Linked DNA regions of Coturnix japonica. The protein of the gene in region 2 binds, or shares a complex with, the protein of the main gene of each other region. Links are inferred from orthologs where the notes say so. Each region holds a gene or a part of one and is shown on either strand. Other genes may lie near its edges. The genes, in order: PEX5L and HCN2.

Region 1 (9,910 bases), on a different chromosome or scaffold from region 2:
GTGGAACCAGGAGATGGACTCAATGATCCTTGTGGGTCCCTTACAATTTAGGATTTCTCTTGATTCCAAGAGTCCCTCTTAATTCCCTTCCAGCAAAAATACACTGAATTCCATGAGCTTATGTGCCTTTTGTAAGCTTTTCTACTGGGTTCTTGTAAGACTGCCTAGCAGCTTCAAGGAATGCTTTTCCATACCAGCACTGCAAATACTCTGCATTCGTATAATTTCGGTATGCCTCTTAGCCAAAAGCAGTTTATCACCTACTCTCTTTGTATGAATATCTTTCAATGAAAACTAACTCATTATTTTTAGCTTGCTTCATTTATAAGCAGTTTATAATCCACTCTTCAAAAACTGAAAAGCTACTAGTGAGTAATTGGAAAATATCAAAACAAAACGGAAAACCTGCCACCATAAACACTGCCATAGTATTGTAAGTACTTTTAGAAAACGTTTGAATAATGAAAAATCATCAGTTTATCATAATGGAGTTTCAGTAAGGCTGGGAGTTATGATTCATCCACATCGCTAGGGATCAGTTGGCATTCCAGCTCATGCTCAGACTTGTAGAATTTTGTAGCTTAAAGTCATTAAGTTTCTGTTGATCTTAACAGCTGAACAAAGATTCAATTTAGCATTGAATTCAATTCTACATTGTGCATATTTTTATGGGCTGCTTTATTCATGTACAAAGTGCATAGCTGAGCAATTCCATTTTTGTAACCATAATTGATGAATAGCTTGAGTTTTACTTATTTTAAGTAGTGCAACCAATGCTGTTACAGTATTTTTAATAGGTACCAAATAAGCAAAGATGGGACTTGCATCAGCAACTAATTCTGTGACATTCTGCTCCACTTTTCCCAGTGAGGAAACTGTGTCTTAAGTGTTGGGAAATCAGAGCAAAAATGTATTTTATAACTTCTAAAATATTTATCAACACTTTTTGTGTGCAATAAAACGCGTTGAGCCCCTGAAGTTTAATTATGCAAGAATTGTCATGCATACATGGTGATTTTTTCATAGACCTACTGCAGTCCTGCATGTTTGGGCTTAAATAATGAGATTTTACAGAAATGTGAGTGATCATTATGGTTGGCTTCATCTAAATGTGAAATGCCAATGGTAGAACATTAAGTATCTTTAACAGTGCAGAACGCAACCCAACAATTATGGGCATGAAGTTGATTGCATATTCAATTAAAAGTTGAGGAGACTAACTGTCTGATCTGGAACTTGGCCAACACATCATCACTTTGAGTCTGTTCTTGCAAAAACGTGCCAAAGGAACTCACTCTGATAGCCATGTGTGGTCAAGATTTCTGCTTTATCTAAATAAAGCCATTTCCAAACATAACACATAAAATCCCATGCCAGCATTTGGCAAAGCACCTCTTCTGTTCAAGCATTTGTGCTGGAGAAAGCTGACTGTGTACAGCATCAAGGCAAAGAGGTTTGAAAGCATTTCTTCTGTATTTCCTAAGAAGCTGAAAGCTGCTGAAAATCCAATTCTATGATTGTCATTTACTTTCCATCCATTTGTAGAGCTATCATAAAAGTCAATGGGAGGGATTGATACCAAGTATAAAATACACTGTGAAAAATTTTAAATGTATTATTGTTGGTTGTTAAAATGATAGACATTTTAGAGCAGTGACTGTGGGATGAACTCAGCTCATGTTCTGCTTCCATCTGGCCTGCTATTGTTCCCTTGAAGAAGATGGTAAACGTGCCCTAGTAAAGAAATACTCTCTCCTTCACCTGTGCAGTTCAGATTTGGAGTCACGTATCTCTGTAATCCCAAAAAAGGCAGGAGGGCCCCTAGAACTGCTGAGGTGTTACCTGAAGTGTAACTTAGGTATTACCCTGTAGCCATCAGCCTTTGTCCTGTCAACATCTGACTTTCCTGGAATTCAGTAGGGCTGCTTATGTAACTGGAGGTATGCACAGCTAATCTCAGGTTCTTATCATGCAAAAGCCTTGCCATGAAGGCTCAAGCTTCAGCCACATGAAACAAACAGGCTGGTAAACAGTACACCAAAATGAAATGGTTGTGATAGAGTAATAGCTGTGAGGGAGCTCCCATGGCAGTGTTCTTCCTTGCATCCTGTTTCTGTTTCTTGCCTCTGTGGAAGGCCGTTGCTTTTCTCCTGGTCTTTTATGTGAAAGCATGCAGTGCAGAAGGAATCAGAAACCAACCCTTAAGAACGGTACCGGGGAATATCGAGTCAGTGGCTGAGCCAGTAACACCTTCTTGTGAGGTTATTGCCTTATTCTGTTGTTTTTGTTTTTTTTTCCCCTCTGTCTGGGATTTTAGCTTAGAAATAGTGTTTCTGTATTGTGAAGATTGACTTATAAGTGGGAAATGTAAGCCTAGGTCCTCAGGATAAGCCAAGTATCTTCCTGAGACTGAGAAAAAACAACGTACTGCAAACTAAAATTTAAGAAGAGATGCACTTACTATGGCCTGATGCAGTATAGTGCTTCAAATGTCTTCATTTCAGGTGACTTCAGCAGTACACAAAGTATATTTCACCTACACCTGCAGAATTCACTGAACTCAGAAATGCTCCACTGAAGCTCACAATGCTTGATGCCTGTTTGAGGCAGGTTTGCAGTCTGAGGAAATTATGTTCATTATGTTGTGATAGTTGATAATGTTTTCAGTTTTTAGAAGACCTGGAAGAATTAGCTGAGTTACAGCTGGTCATTGATAAAATATTGGCTTTGTAAAGTTTTTAACTAATTATATTGAGGAGTAATTTCTGCAGACCTTACTTCTGAGACCAAAACACAAGGAATAAAGGAAATGACAGCTGGCATTCTAAATCAGATCCTAAATTTGATCACTGTACATTCAGAAGAACTTTCGCCTTAAAGTGTGTGGGGTCAACCTTTATGTATCTGCATGCTTTTCAACAGGATACGTAACACTTGATGCTTAGGTGCTCAGTTAGGATTTCATTCAAAAGCAGCGGAAGCTGTGAGTGCTCAGAGCCTTGATAACCCAGATTATTGTTATTAACGAGTTCAGGTATTATTGACTTAGGTGCCTAACTTAATCCACTCAAATCTGAATGGTTTTATAGTTCGCATTCATTTTACATTGACAGGTAATTGCAAATAGTTTTCCTTACATTAGTAAAGGTCTTACAAAAAGTTTTGGAAGGTGTTCAGAAGGGACCTGTCATGCCTGGGACGTGTCTGTGTTTTGGTTAGCAATGGTTGGGTACTGTGCTTGTAGGTAACTGGCAGTTTGCGTTCTAATGAGGTTTAATAAATGTTACAGTAGATAATTTCACTGCAATTTAATTAGCTCTTTATTGTCTTTTCTGTGACTCACTTAAAGGCTCTAATTAAGGATATAGTAAACACAAACATTTTTCCTAATGCTTTAAGCTTTTTTTAGGTGGTTTTTGAAGAAGATTGATGTTTCCTGTTAGGGCAGAAATATATTAAAAACCTTGGCTTATGTGCTCAGCTGAGTTCCTATTTTTTTAGCAGACAAGTGCAGTGGATCTGAATAGCATTTTAAATCAGCTAAGTTGTAAAGTGAATTTGGATAGGATTGGGTTACATTTGAGCTATGAATGTATTTTGAAAGAAAACAAAAATGAAAGGGTGTTTTGAGCTGTTGTTTTTTGTTTGTTTGTTTTTTAATTGCAAATTTGATTTGGCCTTTTAATGATGGAGACAGCTTACAAGGTTGCCAGGGACCTCAGTGTTCCACTACACTTCCTTTTAAAAAGTGTTGTATGTTGAAACCTTGTGGTGTATTGGCCATAGCAAAGAACTGCTTTCTTCTGGGTATAAATACTTATTTGTCAGTATCCAATTCATTAACTTCTGCAACAGGATTGTTTTTGTGTTACCATAAAACAATGCATGCTTTAATCTTATTATCATAAATAGCAAAATGTATATTGATTGCATCTCCTGTTAAAACATATTTGCTCTTCTATGGCAAGCTCCTTTGTGACACGTTATTTATCATTGTTGAAATCAGGCAGCACCAACATGAAAGAGTAACTGGTATCATTTGGGTCAGAGTGCTGAATCAAATCCTCGTTTAACACATATTATGTCCACACTCCTGTGTTTGACATTGACTTGAATGTTCCTGATGACCACTGGCAGGTTTTAAATGCTGTGCAGTTGCACCAAAGAGAAGGGGGCAGCTCACACCTACCAGAGCGGCAGTGCTCTGCAAACAGCCTCAGTACTAACAAACGCCACCGGTGCCACTGTACATGATAAAAGCATCTTGTCATTCCTCACAGTGAGTGCAGACCCAGATTGGGTCTGAAAGCAAAGAAAGAAATTTGGGAGAGCTGTGTAAACCTTTGCTCTGCTTTGGCATGTCCTTCTCCTTCAAAATAGCTTTGGCTTTCCAGGGAAGAGCCATGTGAAGGAGAGCAGGAGCCAAGGTTAAAGTCATCACGTCCAAGGCACCCGTGTGTTTTTATTTGGGAGAGGCATTGTCTGCTATGGCACTGTGGATCAATAGCAGCAGGAGGCAAGATTTCTGCCTCAAATGTTGAAGTCACTTAGACATGTGTTTGAAATTCACTCTACAAAGTCATTCCAGGGCTTAGCAAAATCAATCCTCATCCCACGTTGGGAAGGAGGAAATAGAAATCCATCACCTTTTAACACAACACATTGTGCAAATCAACAGCTTCAGTGTGACATGAAATCTTTGCAGATTTTGCAAAGCAAGTGCTCTGTCTTTTCCCTTATTGTTTGTCCTTCACTTGACATACAGGAAGAGATGCATCAAGAAGATGGCAAGAGCCATGTGTCACTTAAAGCGTGCCATAGCAGCGTTTGCCCTGGAATGCTCCCTCGAATCTGTGTGAACAAGCAGGCACTATACATCAATAAATACACAACTTCATCTAGTTAGAAAGTTGAGCGCGCCCCTTTGCCGCCCTCCCCCTTTGAGCAGAGCTGCCCCCAGGCGCGCTGTCCCCCTCGCTCGGCCCCGTCTCACTTGTTGCACGGTGCCCTGTGCCATCCCCCTCCACACCCCCCGCTCACCCCGCGGAAACTTCGCAGGGACCCGTTCCGGCGGAGCCGCCTGCACTGCTGCTGCTGTCCGGCTGCGTGCAGCCTCTTACCTGCATGTGGCCCTGGTACATTCTGCCGGCTGTGCTGCGGGTGCCCCTCAGGCCGGCGGGTCGGGTGCACGCTGGGAGGGGGCACCTCTCCTGTGCGCTCGGCTGAAAGGGAAAAAAAAAAAAAAAAAAAAAGAATAAAAGAAAAAAAGAGCCTAACCCTGGAAGAGCTATTTTTGGGAAAGATTCAGTTTGTCCTGGAAGCTCCCGTATTGCTCTCGGTAACCCGACCAGGCGGGCTGCTTCCTTCCCTCCTTCCTCCCCTCTCGTCTCTCTTCTCCCTCTCTCCCCCTTCAATGCGGTGCCGCAAGCTGCACGGAGCTGTTCCTCGCGGGGTGCTGGGGGGAGGGCAGGGCGGGCCGGGCCGCGGCGGCGGCGGCTGCGGGGCCGCCGGGCGGGGAGCGCCGCGGGGCGGAGCGGGGCCGCCCGCTGCCGGGCCTGGGCTCGGCCCGATGCTGCCGCCGCCCCGCCCGGCCCCGGCCTCCGCCGCCCTCCTCCTCTTCTCCTCCTCTCACTCTTCCTCCCTCCTTCCCTGCCTCCCTCCGGCCGCAGAGGGAGCGCGCGGCTTCCGGGGGACGCGCGGAGCCCGCGGAGCGAAGCGGGTCCCGGGGAGCTGCAGCCCCGCTGGGGCCTGCGGGCTTCCGCTGCAGCAAGGAATATAAAGAGTAGCGATAACGCTTAAAATAATAATATTAAATTTTTTTTAAAAATTGAAATGAAATATACGTGTACGTGTCAAAACGTAAGCGTGACAGCACCACCAAAAGTCGGAGCGCCCCGCCCCTCCCGGCCGCCCCGCTCCCCCGTGCAGCTGCTGCTGCGGTGCGGGGAGAGTTGGGTGTCCCGGAGCAGCGCGGTGACCTTGTATGTAAACTGGCACATCGGGCCTGCGGCGTCCTGAAGCTGCTGCTCACCTTGCCTTGGATCGAGCTTTTTTTCCCTTTCCCTTTCCTCAGACCTTTAACTTCCAATGTGATAAAAAATGTAGGTGTAGACGTACCTGTATTCAGTAGCACAATAAGCATTCAGTGCCTGACATTTGCTGGATGCTGTGATTTTTCGGCTCTGAGCTCTCTAGTTTTGCTGATAAACTCCCCAGAACTTTTATGTTGCGTCGGAGTGACCACAGCAAACTAACCCCAAGCATCTTCTGCTATTAGAGCAGTGTAAAGTAGGTTTCTCATTCCTGGAGCTGTCACATCTGTATAGTCACAGTTTTACTGAAATGTTCATATTTAACTAAAAAAGGGGGGAGGGGAGAGGGGGAAAGGTGTGTGGAAGGGGTGGGATTTGTAAAGTCATCAGGAATGGCACCAGCAAAATCTAGCCTTTTCTTTTGCTTAACCTTATCATTTTATCCTTCATATAGCAAAGGAGGCAGTTGTCTTACATCCAATGAATGTGCATCCAGCTTGCCAAGGTTTTCATGCAGCCTGAGAGTTTATTCATGTGTTGATGATAAAAAAGAAATGCAAAATGAATATTTTTCTACCTAAATCCCTTAAGCTACTTTGAAAACCTCAATTAAGAGCAAATGCGCTTAAAATATGTTTCTGGGGATTGTCTGTATGCATTAGATGTATTTTACTGTGAAATGCTACTTTGTAATACAGAAATTGACTGCATATCAGTGGCAAGATTGGATGTGAATTATTGTGGTTTGACTTAAGGTATAAAATATAGAATATAGATTTTACAAAGAGAAGTCCCTGTGCTCAGTGTAGAAGATAAGTGTAGATGAAAATTAGCTGCTTCTATATAAACTTGGAGCCTTGGTGTCTCTGCTGTTTGTTAAACAGAGAGGCGTTAGGCTCTCAAGCCTCTAGTCGTCGTGTGTCTGCACTCTTTTTGCTCTCATTGAGCTGGTTCACAAGCTTTCTTTGAAGATTTCTTCCTTCCCTCCTTTCTCCTTTCCTTCCTGCCCCCCTTCCATCCTTCCTCCCAGGCAAACACTGGTAAAATTTGGCAAGACCCAGTGCTAGATGTGAGGTTTTGTAGCATAGTGTGTTTTGAAGTAGGTTTTTTTTCTTTATTCAGCAGAAGTGGCTGCACTGGTTGCTCCATTTGTTGATACAGTGGCATACTGATGCTGCATTTTTCAGGATCAGGTGGACCCAGGAATGTCAGGTGGATCCAGCTTCTGGCTTTCTTTTCAGCAGGGAACTCAAGTCACTTGGCACCAGACAGTAAGAGGAATAGGTTACACAGCAGCAGTCAGAGCAGTGGGGAAGCAGTGGGGGGGGGTGTGCATCACTGGTTGAATGGCAGCAGTTTCTGCTCCAAGAGCTGTTCTTTAAATATCCTTCAGTGCAAATCACGTACATGTTGCACCGTGCTTCCCCAGTTGTAAACTGCTGTTGCTCCAGCTATATTCACCAGAGGAAGCTTAAGCTTAAGCATGTTTTTCTCTCTGTCTCTTCCTAATCTGAAACTGATGCATAATAATTAATGCTTAGTTATAAATAAAAATATCAAAAATGTGCCACAGGATGTGGGGCAGAAAATATTAGTTTGCAGTTCTGGTGTGTAATATAAGGGCTTTGCAGCTTTGAAAATGGTGAATGCCAGCATCCATGCTGTTTGTGACTCTGCTCTGCGTAAAGGTCTGTTTTGTTATAGGGCATGTTTAATTACGCAGGGTTTGCTTGCATAAAATGCTTTAAAAACATTTGTTTCTGTGAAAAGCATTTTTTCTGTTGTGTTCCTTTAATAGCAGTTTGTGTGCCTGCAATAAGACTTGAACCAGTGATATCTGTGTGCTGTGAGCTCTCTAAGCTTTGTTGTTTGTTATGGCAAAAATGGGAAAAACCATGGTGAAAAATATGAAAGTCATAATGTTTGTTAAAGAAGAGTCACCATATGGCTCAACAGACTTTAATTAATATTAAACTGATGGGGGAAAATTAGCTAAAAGTCAAATAAAAATCCTTTATTTCACAAATAAATGCTCAGAATTTGTTTTCAAGTACTTATGTGGGGCAATGAGGGTAATCAGGAAGCCTAGGGATGACAATGGGATTGTGAGAGCATTTACAGACCTGCCCAAGGTGTTTTTGGAGGTTCTGGTAGTTACCTCATTACCATCAAGAAGCTGACATTTAACTCCCACTGGGAGGCATTTTGATTTTCGATAGCTGCTGGTATTTCATTCTTTTAGGCCTTACTAATGTTTATTTCATCCAGGACATCTAAGAAATAGTTTTATCTCATCAGCTCTGAAACCACAAAAGGTGAAGCACATAGGCTCCAGGTTAATAACTAGTGTCACAGTATTTGTCATTAACAAACTAACATGAATGAGTCTGTGTTTTCTATGGCAAGATACCACACAGCAAGGGCAAGTCACAATTTTTGTTAGGGAAGCCACGCAACCATACACAGACCTGAATGTTCTAGTGTAGGAAATGTAGCAAATGTATACTCAGTGTGAAACATCTACTGAAGTGCTCTTCTCCAGCAGGGACACCTTTCTGAATGTGGGACGCAGTTAATCTGAAGGAGAAGTTCCCATAGCTATAAGCTGTGTGCAATGAAAAGTGCTCAATGGAAGAGGGTGAAATTGAGAGTGATTTTCAGTGCCATTGGAGGCAGCTGTTTCCTGTGATATGCTGCGTTCCTGCAGCTCCAGAAACAAAACTTTAAGAGAGAACTTTGGGGAACTCAGTTCTGTGCGTGCACAGCCAGTTTTTGTCTCCACTGCTCTGCTGTGCAGTGTGAGATTCTCTGAACCGTTTGGTATTTCTCGTGTATGGCAATGGATTCTGTTGCCAGCACCCAATGGGAACATATGTTTGGTCATAAAGACACAGATTTGCTGCTTTGTTCAGTAGGAGATTAATGTTGTGATGCATATACCTTAAATAAAACATCAGTCTATGAGCTCATGTAACCATGGAGATAAGTAATTTATATATGTGGAAACTCGTTGGGTTCATTGAGACCTAATCTACAAATTTTATTAAGAAATAGATCTTTGCTGACCTTAATACTAACGAATATTTTCATAAACAGCATTTTATTGCTAACTGAAAATAATTGGCCTAATTTTCTGCAAACATAGACCCCCCAAAAACCTGCTTTATTCTTACAGTCAAGTGAAGTGCAAAACCCATGAAAATTGGGCTCAGTATTTAACGCACTAATAGTCTCAAATCTCATTAGTAACATAGCATTAAAAATAATATGTTTATTTATTTATAATATTGTTGGTGTGGCAGATTCTAATTACACTGTATTTAGACTTTTTCTTCTAATTGCAGTAAGGTATGAGCAGTACAACCACACACTGATAGAAGTGCTAATTATTTCTATTTGTGTATTTACTTTTACACGCTACCGTGATTTAGGCGTCTTTAGGGAAGGCACATAAAGGAGGTGTTTGAGGTGCTTTGTGTACTATAATGAATAACAAACTTGAGCAACGCATAACCCAAAATTAATTTTAAAAAGCTGAAAGTTTTGTTAATGATGCGTATGAAGCATTTAATTAACAAGACTCAGTGTAGAAACCACAAGTCACAGTAACAAATAGAATGAGATTGTAGCTACCCTGAGCAGAATACTAACGGGCCATTCTTCGTGCTGCTGCACTCACACCACTCCTGTTCTCCTGTAATCTGACAGCAAGTACCAGCCTGGAGACTGTCAGCAGAATGAAGAATTTGTCTGGACACCTATTTGGTTTCCTAGCAGAGGAGCTTTTGTTTGGTTGCAGGGAGGTTGCTTTTGGTGTATGTGTAACACTATTTTCCACATGGAAATGCCTTATGCATTAAGGGGCTTCTGCTATAGAG
Region 2 (9,875 bases):
CAGTAACTTACCTGGGTTGCTTAGCCCTGGGGCTCCAAGGAGTGGAGGAGTCATAGATAACTTCATGTTTGTTCTTCTTTGACACAATTCTTTCTTTCTTTTTCCTGTGCTGTCCTGGACATGAAGATGATGATGGAGGCTCTGCGCCACTGTAAGTGCCTTGCTTTTCTGTTTAGTCAGTTAGTATTGCCAGATTGCATTCATTGGGGAATCTACTCTGAGCATAAGAGCTAACTGAATGTAAGAGCTGGCTGCTGCAGGAGCTTCCTGGGAGCTGTTTCCTCCATGTTTTTTTAATGTGGCCTCTATAGAAGCAGAATACTACTTAGAACAGCACAAATGTCTCCAAAACTGATTGTTCTGGAAGCTAACCTCATATTGCTCTATCTCACCCAACTCTTAGTGCACAAACCACACCAGTGGGGCAGGGGTGGGTTTTGGTGCTGCTTTCTTCATCGTCCCTTTTCTATTTGCAGGAAAAGCAATGCCACAAACCACAAGGACAAGAACGTCCGTCAGAGAAATGCTAACTGAGCAGAGGTTAGTGCTGCACCTGGGGGTTCCTGCTGGGTTGGGGCACCCTGGGGACCTGCTGGGTCAGCTTTCCCCTCCCTGCAGCCATGGGCTCATCCTGCTGGTTATAGGGGGCTGTCCTGCATCAAGAAGAGCCTTTAACCCACACTGTAGTGCAAGTGCTTGGGAAGGAGGCATTGCTATGAAGTTCAGGCACAGGCCAGCAGGAGTCTGATAAGGAACTGCTAAATTGGGACAGTGGGAGAGACATGGAATAAAGCATTGGGCTGTACAGCATGGGAGGGTCAGGGCTGCCTGATTCCTCCAGCATGGGGTGGGTTGAGCTCACAGCTTTGCTTAAGGCAGCTGTTGTCCTTATCCTTTATCACCTCCCAGCACAGCCTCGCTGGGTTCCCTAATTTCCTTTTCTTTTCTCTTGCACCAGGTGACGTGTAGCTGAAGAACTTTGTCTGGACATTGTTTTCTTCTCATTTTTCTTTGGTAAAATAGCACCAGGAAATACTTAGCGTGTCCTTCAGTTACTTCACTTTCTACAGGAAATTAAGTCGTAGAATCTAAAACACACCCTTTTTTTTTTGGGAAAAAAGAATAAAAGGAAGAGCTGTGGGAGGGTTTTGGGTTGTTTTTCTACCTGTAAGCATAAATCCCTTTTATTTTCTGGTAGTTTGGATCACTGTCATAGATGTATTTCTTTATGTAGGGGGGTAATGCTTTCTTTCTTACCTTTGGGAAGAGCTGTGTTGGGTAGGATGACTTTGTAATACCTCTGTGTATGAGGAGCAGCAACATCACAGCTCCCTGTGTGCTGCAGGTCAGGAAGAAACTGCTGTAGTAACCTATGGAGATGAGCTGATCTCCCAATGGGCTTAAGAAAGTAACTCTGGGTCTTTCCCAGTGCAGAGCATAGATAGCTGCATCTTTGCATGGCTTGGGAGCAGCCTGCATGGCTTGTAATTGCCAGGCTTCCTGGTCAGCTCCCACAGGGATGCTCTGCGTGATTACAATCAAGCAGGCAACCAGGAAGCAGTGTTAGAGCTGGGCATTGGCTGAGCATGATAATAACTCATTTAATGGGTGGCTGCTGGAATCTTGAGTTGCTACACTGGAGTGAGCAGATGCTGGGGCTGAGGTGCTGGGGGAGAAGGGGGGTTTGCATTGTGTTCTGTTCACATTTGGGGTGACAAAGGAGACTGAGAGCAGATAATAATCAGAGGATTCTTTCTTTCTGGGTAGCACTGAGCTGATCCATCTGTTAACGTACTTCACAAATAAAGATGATTCCTCTCTTTTTTTCCATCTTGGTTTGGACTCTGGTCTCTCTCTTCCCTCCTGGCTGGGCCCCCTGGGTTTGTTATCCTGCTTTGACCCCTGCCTGGCAGCTCTTCATAGAGCACACAAAGGTTTTGGCTCCCAGGGTCTCCTGCCAGCTCTATCTGCTCTCTAATCACAGTGTTACACTGAGTCAGGTTCAAACCCTTCCAAAAGGAGTTAAGTGGAGCTTCCTGAGGAGCACTGCTGTTTTTCTACCTGTTTTCATGGTTCTTGCCCTGCTGTGTGGTTACTCATGGCTCTAAGCAGCTGATGGGCACTGTGTGCATTATGTAGATATGGAGACAAGCCAAAGGGAAGCACACACCAACCCCTTGGGTATGGGCTATGAGCACTGTGGTGTCTTTCCAGGCAAGCTCTGGCTTTTTGCCCTATGGCAGCTGGGCTTGTGGGTTCCTGGAGATTCTGATCTTGTGTTCTCAGTTGTTTGGGTGTTCATCTAACTGTCCAAGCGGGGCTGGGTGAGCAAATGGGCTGCAGCAGGTAGAGGCAATGGGTTACAGTGCAAAAAGCACCAGCAAAAGGCTCAGGAGCCTGAAAGGGCTCTTAAGTTTCATCTGTGTGTTTCCTTTAGGCTGGGAATGAACATACTTAAAGGTGATGGACTCAGCATCAACCACCTGAATACCTGTAGGGAAAGCAATTGGTGCCAATGGCCCTGGCAATAGCTGTGCATGGGGAGCTGCTGGGACTGGTCAGTGCCTGCAATGAAAGGCAGGTGAGGGCAGGCTGGATAAGAGCTGGTAAAAGCAATAAAGCACGGCTGGCTGCTTGACTCCCAGCTGCTGCCTTTGCTGTAATGGGGCTGATGCATGAACATCCTCACTACGAAGTCAAACCCTGTTCTGTTGGGGGGGGATGATTACAGCAGGGCTCTTCCCTTAGTGCTGTGTTGCCTGTAGCTCTGGCAGCCCAGGGCCTTCCTCAAAACGCTGCTGTCTCAGTGTTAGCAGCTCCCATGCCCCGGGCTGACCATGCAGTGTGGCTGTGCTGCACGTCAATGTATTATGCAAGCCCTGGCACAGCCGGCCTCGTGCTTATGGGTGCTGTCCTGGGGGGTGGAGAGAGAGGGGGAAAAAAAAAATCAATGTGTGGCTTAATTTCCTCGTTGAGGATTTGGGACCTGGGCTGCAGCACAAAGCTCTGTTTGTGCCCTTTGTTCTATGGGGCTGGCAATGGGTGAGGAGCAGCTCGGGGTTGGGGGGATGCATGGCTCCGTGCTGCGCTCTGCTGGGCTGCTGTCCCGTTTGTGTCTCTGTCCTGCATTGCTCAGCTGATGGTGTTCCCACCCCATTTGTCCCCGTGTCTCTTGCTCATGTCAGCATGCAATGCTCTGTGTGACTCTGTGTGACTGTGGGGGCTTGGATCAGACAGGGGCAGGTGGGGAATTGAATGATAAAGGTTGGAAAGGACTTGTAATATCACCACATCCCAAGCCATCCCCTCCATGACCATTAACATCCCTCAGTGCTACATCTGCATGTATTTAAACACATCCAGAGGTGATGCCTCCAATGCTTCCCTGGGCAGCCTGTCCCTATTCCATTGCCACTTTCTGAGATGAATTTCTTTCCTAGTATCCAACCTGAACCTAAACCTCATCCTAAAGGCTGCGCTCGAAGGGGCGGCCCCGACTGCAGGTTCCGATCGCGGCTCCCGTTCTATTTGGCCTCTCAGGAGCCGACCCTCTCGTTGCTGATCCCGTGCTCTCCATCCTTCGAACCCTTTGGGCATCTCCATTCGTTGGCCTCGGGGCTGCGCTGAGGGCTCGGGTTGAGCTTCGTCTGTTGCAACGCTGGATGGGAGCGATGTGAGCGCAGCCGGGAGCTGCTCCAGCGGGGGGAGCTGCGGAGCCGCTGCGGTCCCGTCTCCCGGCCCGGCCCTACGACCCGCCCCCGGTCCGCCCCACGGCTCGGCGGCGGGTACCGCTCCGGTACCGCTCGGGTACCACTCGGCCGCCGGTGGCCTCGGCGGCAGCGCACGATGCGATCGGGAGGGGAGGCGGCGGCCGAGGAGGAGGCGGCCGAAGGGGCCAAACGAGGCGGAGGAGCGACCTCGGGGAGAGCGAGGGGCCGAGGGGGAAAGGGATCCCCGAACGGGGAGTGTCGCCGAGGGGAGACGCCGCGCAGCCCCAGCTCCGAGCAGCCCCGGGAGCCCAAGGTCTCCTTCTCCTGCGGTGGTGGTGGTGGCGGTGGCAGCGCATCCCCAGGCGGGGCCAAGGCGGCCGAAGAAGGCGACGATGCGGGCGAGGAGGTTCGGGGGAGCCAAGCCGGGTTCATGCAGAGGCAGTTCGGGGCCATGCTCCAGCCGGGGGTCAACAAATTCTCCTTGAGGATGTTTGGCAGCCAGAAGGCGGTGGAGAGGGAGCAGGAAAGGGTTAAGTCTGCTGGGGTCTGGATCATCCATCCCTACAGCGATTTCAGGTACGTGCCCAGCCGCCCCCCCCCCTCCCCTCTCCTTCCTTCCCTCCCGTGCATCCTCACGGAGCCCCGGGAGCAATTGCGGGTATCGCTGCGGTGGGGCCAGGCTCGAGCATCCCCGGCTCGTCGGGAGGCTTCGGTGAGGGTGGTGGATGGAGAGGGAGAGCGGAGCGTTCCCCCACCGCTTCAGGTTGGGAAGAGGAGGAGGAGAAGGCCGTGCCGTGCCCTGGAGAGGGCACCTTGAGCCGTGCTGGAGGTGGAAGCGGCGGATGCGGCCGCGTGGATGCAGGGAGGGGCTGGAGATGGGCATCCACCTCCTCGGGATCCATCCGGGGATGCCAGGAGCTCTCTGCTTGCCCGGTGGGTGCCCGCACAAGGGCATCCTCTCGTCCTTTGCAGGGCCTCGGAACGGCTCAGCAAGGCAAGGAGACGCTGGAGATCCCGCGGGGGTTGGTTGGGCTCTGCCCCTGTGGCTGTCATTGCGGGGGCTGAGGGGGGAGGTGGAACAGAGCACCCTGGGGTCCTTAAGCCCTGCTATCCTGCTGCAACCTCCACGGCCATGCACAGCTTTGGGAAAGCTTCCCTTCCCCCAAGGAGGCCCAATCCCATCCCTAAGATTCAATGAATATGAAGAGATATTCGTTTTGTTCCCAGGAGGAGCAGTGTCCCCGAGGTGCAGCTTCCAGCTGAGGAATGGCAAAGCCTGGAAGAAAGGTCGTGCAGCACCAGCTTGTGTCCATCTCCCTAATGGGGAGAGATCAGCAGGGAATGCTTGGAGGCTCCCATGGGGATGTAAAGGAGGGACAGCACAACCCTTTTAGGGATGGGAAGCTGAGATCCTGCTGACATCCTTGGCAAGCGAGGCTGATGGGAGCCCCTTATCCAGTGACTGGCCAAAGGCAGGGGGCCAGCAGGCAGCTCAGCACTGAGTCCCTCTGCACTTTCCTAGTGCTTGGAGGGCTGCACTACAGGGCGAGTGAGCATCTGTTGGGGTTCTGTTGAATCCCCTGTGATGCAGAGGTCCTCAGGGCAGTGGAGGAGGCTGTGGAATGAGAGTCTGTGCTGACCAGACAGGATTATGGCAAGGACCAACGCCTGCATCTCTTGGGTCCTGGCCTCACGATGGCTTCTGTGCTGCTCTGCATCCTCTGAGGTGCAAGCAGGGGCAGCTGGAGGCTCCAGTTTGCTCTCCTTGTACACACAGTCGTGCAGCCACGGGGCTGATATTCCTGCCCAGATCCCACTGCGGGTGCTGCCCCTCCTTGCTGCAGAGTCAGGGTGTGAGTGCTGCGTGGCTTTGCCGGTCACAAGGGTGCTCTCATGGGGGCTGCACCATCCTGCTGTGACCACCTTTATCCCCAAGCCATGTGGGTTCCCCATCAGCCATGGGTGTTCCTGGGGAGCTGACTCTGGTTTTCACCTCTCTTAGTCTCAGGGCTCTCAGGAATAGGGTGAATGTGTGGCCTCACTGTCCCCATGCTGACAGTGCTGGTGTGACATCAAGCTGGCATCACTCAGAGCTGGATCCTCTCTGCAGGCGACCTTGGGGGTGTCACCCTGCCACTCTGTCCCCTCCCAGAGCTTCTGCCATTGAAACCACTGGGGCAGAGCTCCTGTGTGTGCTGTGATGCTGCATGTGGCATATAAGAGTTCCCTGCTTGGTGGGGAGGAGCCACGAGGAGAACCAATGCGTTATCCCCAACCTAACAATGTGCAAAATAAACAAGATTGGTTCAGTGTGGGGCTGGGAGCTCAGCAGTGAGGAGCCCACTCCACTCATGCATGCTTGGTACGTATGCCTATGTATTTCACATCGTTCCCATCAATGTATATATAGATATATATATATGTGCTATCTGATAATGATAATGGGAACATGGACACATCCATGTTTGCCCTGTTCAAAGCCCATTTTCTTATCTTAAGATATAACCATTGCCCATCTGCATATGTGACATCATTTCATAATCAGAGGCATTTGGAGGTCTGTTTCCTCGTGGACTCAGCAGTGATTATTCATGCAGAATTTAGGGGCAGATTTGCTCCGGGAACAAAAGTGGCTGTTTACATAAATACTGAATTATTAGGAAGCAGCACGGGTGGCTGTTTGAGATCATGGGCTGCAAATCTGATCAAAGAAACCTCATCCATCGTGCAGGAGGTAACGTTGAGCAGAGCCACCTCATTGCTGGGCTCTGTGATGGGTTGTCATTTCTCCTTCTGGTCTATAGGGATGGAGGAAATAAAGGGCAGGCAATGATGTTAACATGAGCTCTGTGTTTTTGTGTAGCTTGAGTTGGAGCAGGGCTGGGAGTCAGGGTCAGTTGTGGGCTAAGCTTTGCAGTGAATCTGGGTTTGCTGTTGAACCAGGTGCTGTATTTGCATCCTGATAAGGACCTGAGTGAGTGTCTCATGGCTGGGGGTTGGAACTGGAGGAGCACAGTGTTTTTTGCAGCAGGATCAGGGAGCTGTGGGGTGCTGGGGGTCCCTTCCCATTGGAGACATGAATGAGCTCAGTAGGATCCTTCAGCCCCAGAAGGAGGGCTCAGCCTTGGAGCTGCATTAGTAACATGAGCTGCACGCAGGGGTGGTTCATTGGATCACGATGGACCCTGCTGCCCTCAGCATCACTTTGCCTGCTGCTGCTGTTGGCTTTCTGCTCCCTGTGCCCAGTGCAGGGCTGGCACTGTCTGCTGCCACCTCCCTCATGCTGGAGTGAAATGGCTCCTGCTGCTCCACTGCTGGCTGCCAGCTGTGTGCCCTGCAGGGTGACCTGGCCTTGCTCTGAATCCCAATGGGAACAATGTAAATGCCACTGCTAGGTGCTTGCTGACGATCCCACTGTTAATTATCCCCGATGACAGCAGCTGGGAACAGGATGAATGTGAGCACAGCAGACCTGATGGATGGCTGAAAGCCACAGCTTACTCATCAGGAAAAAAAGGCTGTGACTGCCTGCCTGGGGGTGACTTTACAGGTTGGTGCCTTTGAGCATTTTGCAAATATAATATACAATATATGCCTCTGCTTGGGCCCAGCTCCTGGTGGTGGCTTCGTAACCCACTTTTCCACGTGTCCTCAATTCGAAGGAACTTTGTATATTTGTGACAGGTTTGTGAATCGCTGCTCCCGCTGTGTGAGCTGTGATGCCTGCACGGTCCCTGTAGTGGTTGCATTCTGTGCTGGGGCAATAGAAGTGAATGGGGACATCCCCTACCCTCTCTTCCCATTGGGGATGGGGTCCTGGGCTCCTTTAGCTGCTGCTGGTGGTGGGTTGGGGCAGCTGATGGAGTGAGGACAGGCACTATACCCACCCTCAGTGTCTGCCAGCATCTCCTGTGGTTCAATTAGGTCAGAAGTAAAGGAGATGGGGGAGGTAGGGGGGGGCAAGGATCCTAATTAATTTATTTTGGGATATTTTTAGCAACCTGGACTGAATCTTATCTTTTATGCACACGCTGCCCTCCAAAGAACAAAGCATTGGTGTTGCAGCAGGGGTTGCTCGGGATCAGCCCTGTCTCTATTGGGTTGAGACTGTCTCTGTTAAGGTGCTCAGGACCAGTTGCTCTTTCCAGGCCCTCATTCCCCTCTATGGGGTCCTGCAACCTCAGCATCGCAGTAGAGCCTCGGTGCCCCCCACCCACTCACCATCACCCCCCCTATGTCACCAAGGGCTGCACTGTTCCAGCAGCCAGATCTGGTCCTTGGGGTTGGCTGTGAAGGGAAGAGCACAGCCTGTCCCTTTCAGGCTGCCAGCTTGTGGAGGGGCACTGGGTGTGAAGTCATGGTTGTGCAGCAGTGACATCACTTGTGGTTGCCATGGCTATGTCTCACATGGGGAAGGTGTCATTGGAGAAAGGTCACAAGCTGGGATATGCTCAGCTCCTTCCAACCCTATACCAAGTGCGGGGGGAAGGTGGGCAGCTTGGCCCCGCATGGAGCTGCAGCCCTGACAACAACGGGGCTGAATGTCCTGCTGTGACCTTGGTGCATGCAGGAAGGACATGGGCGGAAGGATGAGAGCCAGGAGAAGTGGGGGGCTGAGGCAGCAGTGATGCAGAAGGGAGGGGGAGGCATTTTGATCACTCCTTCCTTGTTCTCCCTCCTTGCTCCAGCTGCAGCTGGACGTGACCATCTGCTGTTCCCCCCCCTACACACCCCTGTAGAGTCCCCCATTGGGTTCTGGCAGGGATGTGGAGTGCTGGTGCTTGAGGTTCCCCAGCCATAATAACCCACTCTCAAGGTCTCCCCAAATTGCTTCAGAGCTTGTCTGGCTTTTGGTGCTGACTCAGTCAGACCCCACAGCCCTGAGACCCCACACTGCACCCATTGCACTGCACAGCCCCATAGCAAAGTGCTTCTGGGCCTGGAAGTGGTACAACCTCAATTCATCCCTTGGGGACTTGCAGCTCCTGCCACCATCCATAAGGACACGACATTGCCATATTGGGGTCCAGTGATCCCCTCCCTCCTCTGTGCCCCTCCAGGTTTTACTGGGATTTCACCATGCTGCTCTTGATGGTGGGCAACCTGATCATCATCCCCGTGGGCATCACCTTCTTCAAGGATGAAAACACTACCCCATGGATTGTCTTCAACGTGGTTTCGGACACGTTCTTCCTGATCGACCTTGTCCTCAACTTCCGAACTGGCATCGTGGTGGAGGACAACACCGAGATCATCCTGGACCCTGAAAGGATCAAGAAGAAGTACCTCAAGACGTGGTTCGTGGTGGATTTTGTCTCTTCCATCCCTGTGGATTATATCTTTCTCATTGTGGAGAAGGGCATCGACTCGGAGGTGTATAAAACAGCCCGTGCTCTCCGCATTGTCCGCTTCACTAAGATCCTCAGCCTGCTGCGCCTGCTGCGGCTCTCCCGTCTCATCCGCTATATCCACCAGTGGGAAGAGGTAAAGGCTGCTGGGCTGGGGGCATCTGGGGCCAGAGGGATATATACAGAGGTGTATATACAGACAGGAAGGTGCTGGCTTTGAGAGTAACCCTGCAGGGAAAGACGTGAGGGGTTCTGGTGGGGGTAGGACTTAACGTGAGGCAGCTGGGTGCTCTTGTAGCTCAGAGAGCAAATGGGATCCATCAGAAGCAGGGATAGGGAAGTGATTGTCCCTCTCTGCTCTGCCCTCATGAGGACCCATCTGTAGTGCTGTGTTGAGGTCTTGGACCCCAATATAAGAAAGACAGGGAGCTGTTGGAGAGGGTCCAGAGGAGGCCATAAGGATGCTCAGAGGGCTGCAGCACCTCCCCTGCAGAGATGGGATGAAGGAGCTGGGCTTGTTCAGCATGGAGAAGGCTGCGGGGTGACCTCATTGCAGCCTTCCAGTATTTAAAGGGAGCCTATAAACAAGAGGGGAGTCAACTCTTTGAAAGGGTGGATAACAGCCGGACAAGGGGAAATGGTTTTAAGTTGAAGGAAGGAAGATTTAGGTTGGATATCAGGGGGAAGATCTTTACTCTGAGAGTGGGGAGGTGCTGGAACAGCTGCCCAGAGAGGCTGTGGATGCCCTGTCCATCCCTAGAGGTGTTCAAGGCCAGGTTGGATGTGGGCCTGGGCAGCCTGGACTGGTATTAAATAT

Evidence for each region.
Region 1: the proteins of HCN2 (region 2) and PEX5L are in contact, whole or in part, in a crystal structure (PDB 4EQF), measured with the Mus musculus proteins. The link is inferred for Coturnix japonica from reciprocal best matches to the Homo sapiens genes HCN2 and PEX5L. Residues at the interface, in NP_032252.1 of Mus musculus: Leu859, Ser860, Ser861, Asn862, Leu863; in NP_001156988.1 of Mus musculus: Glu315, Glu317, Val343, Asn347, His426, Asn453, Arg454, Ala457, Thr458, Ala460, Asn461, Tyr472, Arg484, Tyr487, Asn488, Ile491, Ile494, Ile537.

What each region holds. Positions count from the first base shown.
Region 1 is NC_029524.1:15,206,603-15,216,512, reverse strand, and holds the start of PEX5L (PEX5-related protein), read right to left. Parts: upstream 5,488-9,910; 5' UTR 5,142-5,487; coding exon 5,121-5,141; intron 1-5,120. UniProt on the Homo sapiens protein: Accessory subunit of hyperpolarization-activated cyclic nucleotide-gated (HCN) channels, regulating their cell-surface expression and cyclic nucleotide dependence.
Region 2 is NC_029543.1:1,784,687-1,794,561, forward strand, and holds the start of HCN2 (potassium/sodium hyperpolarization-activated cyclic nucleotide-gated channel 2), read left to right. Parts: upstream 1-3,846; coding exon 3,847-4,286; intron 4,287-8,770; coding exon 8,771-9,194; intron 9,195-9,875. Other genes in the region: BSG (basigin), read left to right, coding at 127-151, 477-534. UniProt on the Homo sapiens protein: Hyperpolarization-activated ion channel that is permeable to sodium and potassium ions. Displays lower selectivity for K(+) over Na(+) ions. Contributes to the native pacemaker currents in heart (If) and in neurons (Ih).